Linked DNA regions of Arabidopsis thaliana. The protein of the gene in region 1 interacts with the protein of each later gene in a biochemical or structural test. Each region holds a gene or a part of one and is shown on either strand. Other genes may lie near its edges. The genes, in order: AT1G49580 and TUB7.

Region 1 (5,738 bases):
ATACGTTTGAACATATATACATTTATTTAAATTTTGCGAAAAAGAAGCAAATAAGCATTGAATGATGATATACATCCATCAAATCCAAATGGAAGCAACCAACTTTGTAGGTATTGTGTTTGTTGATTACTGATTGGAAGACATAAATTTTAAACCATTAAAGTTTCTCCAACGACTTCAAGAAATTATCAAGATTAGAGTTAGTGGAAGAATGAGAAATACTTCATACTATAAGCTATTTTAATCTATTATACATATATAGTCTAAATACAAAATAGTAGTTAGGTTACGTACACCATCATGTTAAATGCAAAACACAAACAGCCAATAGAGAAATATCATATAATTCATGCAAATAAACTAAACATTATCTATTCCACAAATGAGATTAATTTTTTATTTAAAATATATACATATAACAACTCGAGGTTTAGTTTTAAGCGAAACGTATATGTGTGAAAATTAGTTAATGAACCTTATTTTTTCTTCTTTTATAGCTGGTTATTTCTTAATATTCGTGTTAATAACATTAGTAAAAACACAGTAAAGATTTTTTTGTCTAATATGATAAGTAATAATTAATTAACGTTACATGTCCGAGACGACCGCAAATTTGGGGCATACCTCTTGGAGCATTCGTCATTGTCTCGTTGATGTGTTTTCATATAACGTTTGGATAATTTTCAATTTAATGTCAAGACAATTTTGAATGCTAGTTATTCTGATCTCAAAAGAAGATGCTGACCAAGATGTTTATCTCTGATGTCATGCCTTGCACAATTTCAAACCAACCTACTCCTCTTTCTATATATACGTGGAGCCAAGTTTGTCAATCTTATGATTTGGTGGTACCATAGAGTCGAGTTGGCTGGTTCTCGCAAGGAGTTTCAAAGAGAATTTCAACACATGGACGGTTGGTGTTTCACGATGAACTAGCTCAAGTGATCAAATGTGTGGTTAGAGTCACACTCAAACTTGTCTTCTTTTTGCATAACTAAACGAGACATAAGATAACTTATTCTTTGAACTCTCTCGATTGAGATTGGCATAACACTCATTTTCTAACGGCTTCTTCTTTTGATAATATCAAATACATTCTTCTTCAACTATCTTTCCAAACTTCCAGTTGACCGAATATAACAGGAAAGGAATGAACGAACACAGACTCAAGCATACCACATTATTGACGTCTAATCGACGTAAAGATTCACCACATAATTCACTCCTTCTCAGATTCTGACACTTCTCACCTTTAAAACATTATGCAAACATAGTTTGGGGATTGTCGTTAGTTGACTCTTAGTTATTTAGTATGTCAATTTTTGTTTGTTCCAAACTTTCAAGAAAAAAAAAATGAATTTGATTTATTTTTTCTATCAAAGATATTCGTAAATAAAACAGATATTTCTTCTTCTTTGTGGTAACATATTTTTTGCAAAAAACTTTTACGAAAGAAACTTGTAAACTCTAGAAGCATATAAATAAAATAAAGTATATATTGGTTAGAACCTAATTACTAGGCTAAAAACTACAATTCATTATGATATTTTTTAATTCCAAATCTATACAAAATTATTTCTTACATAAATATATATGTAGACATGTATTCAATAATTTTCATGATAAAACATAGGAGTATTTTTTACAACTAGAAGGTTACATGTACTTAATTATCCTTAATTGTACCCACCAACTGTCAACTATATATACATACTCTATTTTTTTTACAGCAGCTATAATTTTCTTTATTTAAATTTTGTAAAGGTTCTGTTACTTCATTAAATTCAATTTACACAAACTTGTACAAAAAAAAAATGATCTCACAACCGTTGAAAAAATGACCTCATTTAAAAAATATAACAAAAATAAAATATGGGACATGAATGACAAACATAACAGATCGGAAATATATTTAAAAGACTGCAATAAATTAAGGTCATTAATACGTGGCCGGAAGCAACTAATTTACTAACCAATGCACACATCTACTTGCTTCGTCTTCTTCTTCCTTCTTCTTTCTACCACCATTTTCAGATTCAAAATTCAATTCTAACAGTTTCACTTCCCCTGCTCCTCTCTCTCTCTCTCTCTCGCTCTCTTTCTCATGTGATCTCTCTCGCTCTCTCTTTCTTCTCTAAAAGCCAAAACTTCGATGGCATTACTGTGATTTTCCTCATAAAGTAAGCTCCTTTTTTTCGCCGGAGATTATGGGAGGCTGTACTTCCAAACCCTCCACTTCCTCCGGCAGACCTAACCCTTTCGCTCCCGGTAATGACTATCCTCAAATTGACGATTTTGCCCCTGACCATCCCGGTAAATCACCAATTCCTACTCCTTCCGCCGCAAAGGCCTCTCCTTTCTTCCCCTTTTACACGCCGAGCCCTGCTCGCCACCGCCGCAATAAGAGCCGCGACGTCGGCGGAGGAGGAGAGAGCAAGAGTTTGACTAGCACGCCTCTCCGTCAATTACGCCGTGCGTTTCACCCTCCGTCTCCGGCGAAACACATACGGGCGGCGCTACGGCGGAGGAAAGGGAAAAAGGAAGCTGCTTTATCTGGGGTGACGCAGCTAACGACGGAGGTACCGCAGCGTGAGGAGGAAGAGGAAGTAGGGCTTGACAAAAGATTTGGTTTTTCTAAAGAGTTTCACAGTAGAGTAGAGTTAGGGGAAGAAATTGGACGAGGACATTTTGGGTACACTTGCTCTGCTAAGTTCAAGAAAGGAGAGCTCAAAGGTCAAGTGGTTGCTGTCAAAATCATCCCAAAATCGAAGGTAACAAAACTTGAGTTTAGTTTCTTGATCTTGATGATTGCATACTCTCCATTGTAGTGTTAGCTGATAGAATTGAATGTGTTTTGATTCTTTTTTGGCAGATGACAACTGCAATTGCTATAGAAGATGTGAGAAGGGAAGTGAAAATTCTACAGGCTTTATCTGGACATAAGAATCTGGTACAATTCTATGATGCATTTGAGGACAATGCAAACGTCTACATTGCAATGGAGTAAGATCATTATTTTATCATAACCTTAACCATTTCCTTGTTTGATGTTGAATTTAGTTAGGTTTTAGTTATGAATTTGGTAAAAAGAACCTATTGTTTCATAATTGGATTTAAGTAGTTTGAATTTGCAGGCTATGTGAAGGTGGTGAGCTTCTTGACAGAATACTAGCAAGGTGTGTGTCTGTGTGCTACTAAAGAGTTATCGATACTTATGGCCAGAGATTGTTCTTATTTTATAAAAAGATTCATCGTTTTTTTCTACAGGGGAGGGAAATACTCAGAGAATGACGCAAAACCAGTGATTATACAAATTCTGAATGTGGTAGCTTTCTGTCATTTCCAAGGAGTTGTTCATCGAGACCTTAAACCAGAGGTGAGGCACAATTTTGAACTGGAAAGAAGATTATGTTTTACTTTTATGTGTAGAATGTTTTCTGATCGCTGCTTCATCATCAGAACTTCTTGTACACTTCCAAGGAGGAGAATTCTCAGCTTAAAGCGATAGACTTTGGCTTATCAGACTTTGTCAGACCAGGTTCATCATCACACATTTTACTATGTCACTATTTCTCCAGTTCTTTTTCTTCTGGTTAGTAAACTAAAAATGGTATTTTGTGCCCCTTTTTTTGAAAGATGAGAGACTAAACGATATAGTGGGAAGTGCATACTATGTAGCTCCCGAAGTTCTACACAGATCATATACAACAGAAGCGGATGTGTGGAGCATCGGAGTCATAGCATACATTCTACTATGTGGTAGCCGTCCGTTTTGGGCAAGAACTGAATCCGGAATTTTTAGAGCTGTTCTTAAAGCTGACCCGAGTTTCGATGAACCTCCTTGGCCCTTCTTGTCTTCTGACGCTAAAGACTTTGTTAAGCGGTTATTGTTTAAGGATCCCCGGCGAAGAATGTCAGCCTCCCAAGCCTTGAGTCAGTCATTTTTAATTTCACAGCTCTTTATAGTTTTATGTCTCCTGTCTTTTGGTAGTCATAAATCACCAAATTCAGTTCCTATTTACTTTTTTCAGTGCATCCTTGGATCCGAGCTTATAATACGGACATGAATATCCCTTTCGATATCTTGATCTTTAGGCAGATGAAGGCGTACTTGCGATCTTCTTCATTACGCAAAGCTGCTTTGAGGGTATGTTTTAGGCATTCTTTTAAAGTGTCGAAAAGAGCATTGAAGATTACTTTCTCACTATTATGTGCTTTCTTTTCACAGGCGCTATCGAAGACGTTAATCAAGGATGAAATTCTTTACCTGAAAACTCAATTTTCTCTTCTCGCACCAAACAAAGATGGCCTAATCACAATGGATACCATTAGAATGGTTTGTGACACTATAACTTCTTTTATATTCCTTCCTCTTGAGAAAAAAAGAGAAACACCGTAGTAATCTAATCTGTATTGCATTTTTTGTTTCTGTTTAAACAGGCACTTGCAAGCAATGCAACAGAAGCAATGAAAGAATCTCGGATCCCAGAGTTTCTTGCTTTGGTAAATGACTGTGTTCTCTCGGATTTTGATAAATGCTTTAACAATTTGGTGTTAATGATCCTTCATTGACTGGCTTTTTACAGCTAAATGGACTTCAATACAGAGGAATGGATTTTGAAGAGTTTTGTGCAGCTGCTATAAACGTTCATCAGCACGAGTCGCTTGATTGTTGGGAACAGAGCATTCGACATGCTTATGAGCTTTTCGACAAGAATGGAAACCGAGCTATTGTCATCGAAGAACTTGCCTCTGTAAGTTAAAGCATCTGTCTTCAGCTTAAATACAAAAATATCGAAAAACAGATCCTCTAAAACGACATGCTTTTGAATTGCAGGAACTTGGTGTTGGACCATCTATACCGGTACATTCAGTTCTACATGATTGGATCAGACACACTGATGGAAAGCTTAGCTTCTTCGGGTTTGTTAAACTGTTACATGGAGTCTCTGTTCGAGCCTCGGGGAAAACTACCCGGTGAAGATAACGAAAACAAACATGACCTAAGCGAAATCGTAAAAGAAGATGTCAAAACCTTTACTCTAAATCTTGGATTGGTATTGGAAATGTAATAGTTGGTCAAAGACTGTACAACAAATGAAAAGTTTCTTACAAGAGCAATTCTAAAAAAAAGATTGTTGTAATAATATAGTAACCACAGATACTTTGATACTCTATGTGAAGTCAAGAAAATGAAAAAGAAAATTCCAAAAAGATTTGATTTTTGTCTCTCTTTCTTCCCAATGATTATGGAATCAGCGAAATCTTGGTTATTTCCGGTTTGTTACTGTGCTTTAATTTGTGAGATCTGAGTCGGTGTAACCAGTGAAAACCGGTTCTAGTGATGGAAATAAATTAGAATTTAGAAAACAAACCAAACCGATTTTCTTCTCCCCCAATTTTATATTTTGCTTCTCCTCTCGAGTTTGGGATTCGAGTTTAAGGAATTAGGGTTTCTAATCTCTCTCTCTTTCTCTCGAGATTTTTCTTCACTTAGTTCTTGATTCTGATTAAAAGTTGATCTTATAGTTCCGGTAACTTCGTTTTCTGGGTTTAATTTTCGATTCAATCTTCATCTCCTTGATCCACAGCCATGACTGAGGTAAATCAAAATTCGCATCTTTTCTCTCCAAATCTCTTTGAATTACGAAACCTCTGTCTTGTTTCGTAATTGAAATTGATCTTGAGTTTGTTTTTTGTGTTATTTCAGTATTGGGTAAGTCAAGGGAACAAATGGT
Region 2 (4,634 bases), on another chromosome or scaffold:
TCTACTTGCTCCAATTGGGAGAATCATAATTTCCTAAACAAATTATGAAAACACAACAATCATTACATATGTAAATGAAATTACTTGAAAACCAAAAGATTTCTTGAAGAACTTTGAGAAACAGAAACGTTAATAGTGAACTTAATGTAGAATACCTGAATGGCAAAAGTATTCGAAGCATGCTTCCCACCACTCAAAACAGTGAACGCAGGTACAGGTAACACCATGTTTGCTCTGCCACTAAGATCAGAAAGATGCTTGCACAAAGGGACCTGATAATAACTTCAATCAAAATCTCCTAACTAAAGTAGGCATAAAATACATAGGATAAGAGAAAATGTTATCATTCATACCTCTTTCTCAGCAGCTCCAGCCTTGCATGCCGCAATTGACACAGCAAGTATAGCATTAGCACCAAGTTCACTCTGCAAGATATTCAAATCAAATTAATCATGAGGAGCAATGATATATGAACTTGTTACAATCCTAATAAAAGTTCCCACCTACCTTCTTTTCAGTTTTATCCAAATCTATCATAGCCTGATCTATCTGACCCTGAAGTTTTGGGTCCATACCAATCAACGCCTCAGAAATTTTTTCATTTATGTTCTTAACAGCTTTAGCCACACTGTTTCCAAGATACATTCCTTTGTCTCCATCACGTAGCTCAATAGCTTCATACCTTGAGAATCAGTAAACCAATCTCCTCATGTCAGGCTTATCATATTAGAGAATTGTATATCAATCAGAGTAAGAATAATTCTCACGTTCCAGAAGAATCACCACTGGGAACAGAAGCACGAAAAACGCCTTTGTTCGTGTGCAGATCAACTTCAACTGTTGGAATTCCTCTGCTGTCAAGGATCTGTCGTGCTTTAACCTTCGTTATCACAGATGATACAGCTTTCTTCAGATGATTAGCCTGCACTTTTCCAATTGAAGATTCAATGAGTAATGTAACATAATTTCACTTCGATACATGTAAATCAAAATTCGAAGGAAACTTACGATGAAGAGAACGGGATCTGAGGTTTTAGCCCTTACGGCGGCATTAACGGCGTCTTCGATTTTCCGAGAAAGCATATGCTTGTCTAAATACTCTTGCACAGACATCTTCTTCTTCTTCCTCTTCCACGGACTTCTCGATTCGAATCTTCAAGCAAAATTTCGATGAACAAGTTTGAATCTGAAATTCATTTTCCGATTGACTGTATTTTTTGGTTCACGCTCCGGTTCAGGCTCCGGTTCAGGATCCAATAAGCATATTCAATCATTAAAACGATGAGTTTCACTTTACAAACACATGCTTGCCGTCTGAGGATTTTGCTAGTGCACATCACTCCGTTTTAAGTCATGCAGATTTGAAATGAAAAGAGTAAAAGCCCATTTTAGGCCCAATAAGAAGTCTCTCACGTGCGATTGCCAGGTTGGAACCGCTTTTTTATCTCTCATAAAGCACGTGCGAGTGCGACGATGTTTTAGTAACTGCTCTCCTTAATGGAATCCAGCTGTCATTCACACGAACATATTTTTTTACGAAATTCAAAAAAACTTTTTATCACGAGCCATTAATTTTTGAATTTTGCCACCCGTTGCCACCTCGATTTACGTGGCATTATCTAAACCGTCGATTCGATTTCGAATTACCAAATATTAGCCGTTAAAACCTCCTTTTCTTTATAAATGGACCCTCCTCTTCTTCTCTCTCTCATAAAACAAAAGATCCTCTCTGCTTCTCCTTTCCCTTTTTCAAAATCTCTCTCTCTCTCTCTCTTTTTAGATCCAGTTTTAGGGTTTTCTTCTCTGTGAGCGAAGATGCGTGAGATTCTTCATATTCAAGGAGGTCAATGCGGAAACCAAATCGGTTCCAAGTTTTGGGAAGTGGTTAATCTCGAGCACGGGATTGATCAGACGGGACGGTATGTAGGAGATTCCGAGTTACAGCTTGAGAGGGTTAATGTATACTACAACGAGGCGAGTTGTGGAAGGTACGTTCCTCGCGCTGTTCTCATGGATTTGGAGCCTGGAACCATGGACAGTGTCAGATCTGGTCCGTACGGTCAGATCTTTCGACCGGATAACTTCGTCTTCGGTCAGTCCGGTGCTGGGAATAACTGGGCTAAAGGTCACTACACTGAAGGTGCTGAGCTTATTGATTCGGTCCTTGATGTTGTTCGCAAAGAGGCTGAGAACTGTGACTGCCTTCAAGGTATTTGAAATCCGTCTTCCTTATTTAGGTTTTTGTCTATTTAGGTTTTTGGATCTGTAAATTTAGGTTGGGTATTGGTAGTGTATGATTGTTTTTAGGTTTAGATTTCTGATTTTGAACTGTGGAATACGGATTCGGTTTTGTATTCGTTGTTTGCTTATGGTTTTGGTTGTTTGGATTTACAGGATTTCAGGTGTGCCATTCCTTGGGAGGAGGAACTGGTTCTGGAATGGGAACTTTGTTGATATCTAAGATCAGGGAGGAGTACCCAGACCGTATGATGATGACTTTCTCTGTGTTCCCATCGCCTAAGGTGTCTGACACTGTTGTGGAGCCTTACAACGCAACACTATCTGTGCACCAGCTTGTTGAGAACGCTGATGAGTGTATGGTTCTTGACAACGAAGCTTTGTATGACATTTGCTTCCGTACACTCAAGCTTAGCACTCCAAGTTGTAAGTATTCCAATGTTCTTCGATTATGAGTCAATGTTGTTACTGTATCTGTCTCTGTGGTTTATTGTTTCAGGCTTAGTTATTGATTAGTATTGAAACTTCACTCACATATTTTTTTGTTTGTTTTCTGAATTGTGCAGTTGGTGATCTGAACCACTTGATCTCTGCAACCATGTCTGGTGTAACCTGCTGTCTTAGGTTCCCTGGTCAACTGAACTCTGATCTGCGAAAGCTAGCTGTGAATCTGATCCCATTCCCTCGTCTCCACTTCTTCATGGTGGGATTTGCTCCTCTCACCTCTCGTGGATCTCAGCAGTACCGTAACCTCACTGTCCCAGAGCTCACTCAGCAAATGTGGGATGCTAAGAACATGATGTGTGCTGCTGACCCAAGACACGGTCGCTACCTCACTGCTTCAGCCATGTTCCGTGGAAAGATGAGCACCAAGGAGGTCGATGAACAGATGCTGAACGTACAGAACAAGAACTCCTCCTACTTTGTGGAATGGATCCCTAACAACGTCAAATCAACCGTCTGTGACATTCCCCCTACTGGTCTGAAGATGGCTTCAACGTTCATTGGTAACTCAACTTCGATCCAAGAGATGTTCAGGCGTGTCAGTGAGCAATTCACTGCTATGTTCAGGAGAAAGGCTTTCTTGCATTGGTACACAGGTGAAGGTATGGATGAGATGGAGTTCACTGAAGCTGAAAGCAACATGAACGATCTTGTCTCTGAGTATCAGCAGTATCAAGATGCAACGGCTGATGAAGAAGGAGAATATGAAGAGGAAGAAGCTGAGTACGAGCAAGAAGAAACTTATTGAAGAAACAGATGATAAGAACACCTCAACTTCCAGTTGCTGTTTACTTTTAAAACTCTCTTCTATTAAGTTCTTATAGTTTCTGTAACTATCGCTTGCGTTATTAGTAGTTATGATACTCTGCGTAGGCTAAGAGGATTTATCAATCAATATTCAAACAATCTATTTTGCTAAATCAAAATCCATCCATAGTATTTTTTTTCTTTGTTTCATTATATAACCTTTTGTTAATTTTGACTATGTGAATTCGGTGAAGACTTCACCATCTTTCAAATATAAGAAGCAGAGTAGTAGTGACAATGGTTATAAGCAATATAAGAATCTTCTTGGTTAAATTTTGGTGTGGATTATGAATTTGACGAGTCAATTTGAAGGACGAATCTGGATTTAAGATAAAAATAGTATAAACTCCATAGGAGAATACAATGGTTATCAGTTGTTTTCAATGTCCATGGACCCAAATAGATCCCTCTGCCTCTTAAGCTCTTCTTCTTCAGCCTCCTCCTTACGCTTTTGTTCATCCTTATACTCAGCAACAGCCTTATCAAAAACGCTTCTCACATGTCTGTTCATTTGCATGAGCTCTTGACATGCATCTTTAAAAACCTCTCTTGCTGGATCACCTAAAAGCCACAGAGCCAACACGTTTTATGTTGTTAGACACACAGACAAAGAACTCGGATAAGAGTTATCCAAAAAGAACATAGCTTAACTCTGATGAACAGAGTTTTTGAAAAACAGTACCTGTTGTCTGGACCCGGATATTGACCTGTTCAAGGGAAGGATGTGGGATGGTGTATGCAGCCACGGTTACTCTGGGACTGCAGAATTGAAAACAGTACTGGTTATTGACATAATCATCATTGTCTACACACCAGCATATCAACTCCATCAACCTCAAAGATAAGATAATGTGACATTCATTGAATACAATGAGAATCTCTAACAACATAACATGAATGTAAACCAACATTTAATCGAACTCTCAAGTTTCACAATCACAATATAATGGCGAACTTAATGGACCAAACTCATCCAACGAAAGATATCGGAACAATAATGCCTCGTCACTGCTGTCTCTATCTAAGAGCTAATTCTAGACTATCTTTTCTAGTCTCTAACCACAGAACATGAATCTGAATCGAAC

The links.
Region 2: of the proteins of AT1G49580 (region 1) and TUB7, one has a biochemical effect on the other in vitro, tested with the Arabidopsis thaliana proteins (one study listed by BioGRID).

The regions. Positions count from the first base shown.
Region 1 is NC_003070.9:18,349,404-18,355,141, forward strand, and holds AT1G49580 (Calcium-dependent protein kinase (CDPK) family protein), read left to right. Parts: upstream 1-1,920; 5' UTR 1,921-2,207; coding exon 2,208-2,771; intron 2,772-2,872; coding exon 2,873-3,003; intron 3,004-3,134; coding exon 3,135-3,176; intron 3,177-3,267; coding exon 3,268-3,376; intron 3,377-3,459; coding exon 3,460-3,538; intron 3,539-3,636; coding exon 3,637-3,933; intron 3,934-4,031; coding exon 4,032-4,147; intron 4,148-4,228; coding exon 4,229-4,336; intron 4,337-4,440; coding exon 4,441-4,503; intron 4,504-4,586; coding exon 4,587-4,754; intron 4,755-4,837; coding exon 4,838-4,981; 3' UTR 4,982-5,231; downstream 5,232-5,738. Other genes in the region: AT1G49590 (C2H2 and C2HC zinc fingers superfamily protein), read left to right, coding at 5,594-5,602, 5,711-5,738. UniProt on the Arabidopsis thaliana protein: May play a role in signal transduction pathways that involve calcium as a second messenger.
Region 2 is NC_003071.7:12,643,114-12,647,747, reverse strand, and holds TUB7 (tubulin beta-7 chain), read left to right. Parts: upstream 1-1,690; 5' UTR 1,691-1,815; coding exon 1,816-2,209; intron 2,210-2,394; coding exon 2,395-2,664; intron 2,665-2,804; coding exon 2,805-3,490; 3' UTR 3,491-3,831; downstream 3,832-4,634. Other genes in the region: ENOC (cytosolic enolase), read right to left, coding at 1-33, 156-272, 354-425, 508-682, 768-922, 1,009-1,113; RPC14 (RNApolymerase 14 kDa subunit), read right to left, coding at 3,920-4,110, 4,232-4,460. UniProt on the Arabidopsis thaliana protein: Tubulin is the major constituent of microtubules, a cylinder consisting of laterally associated linear protofilaments composed of alpha- and beta-tubulin heterodimers.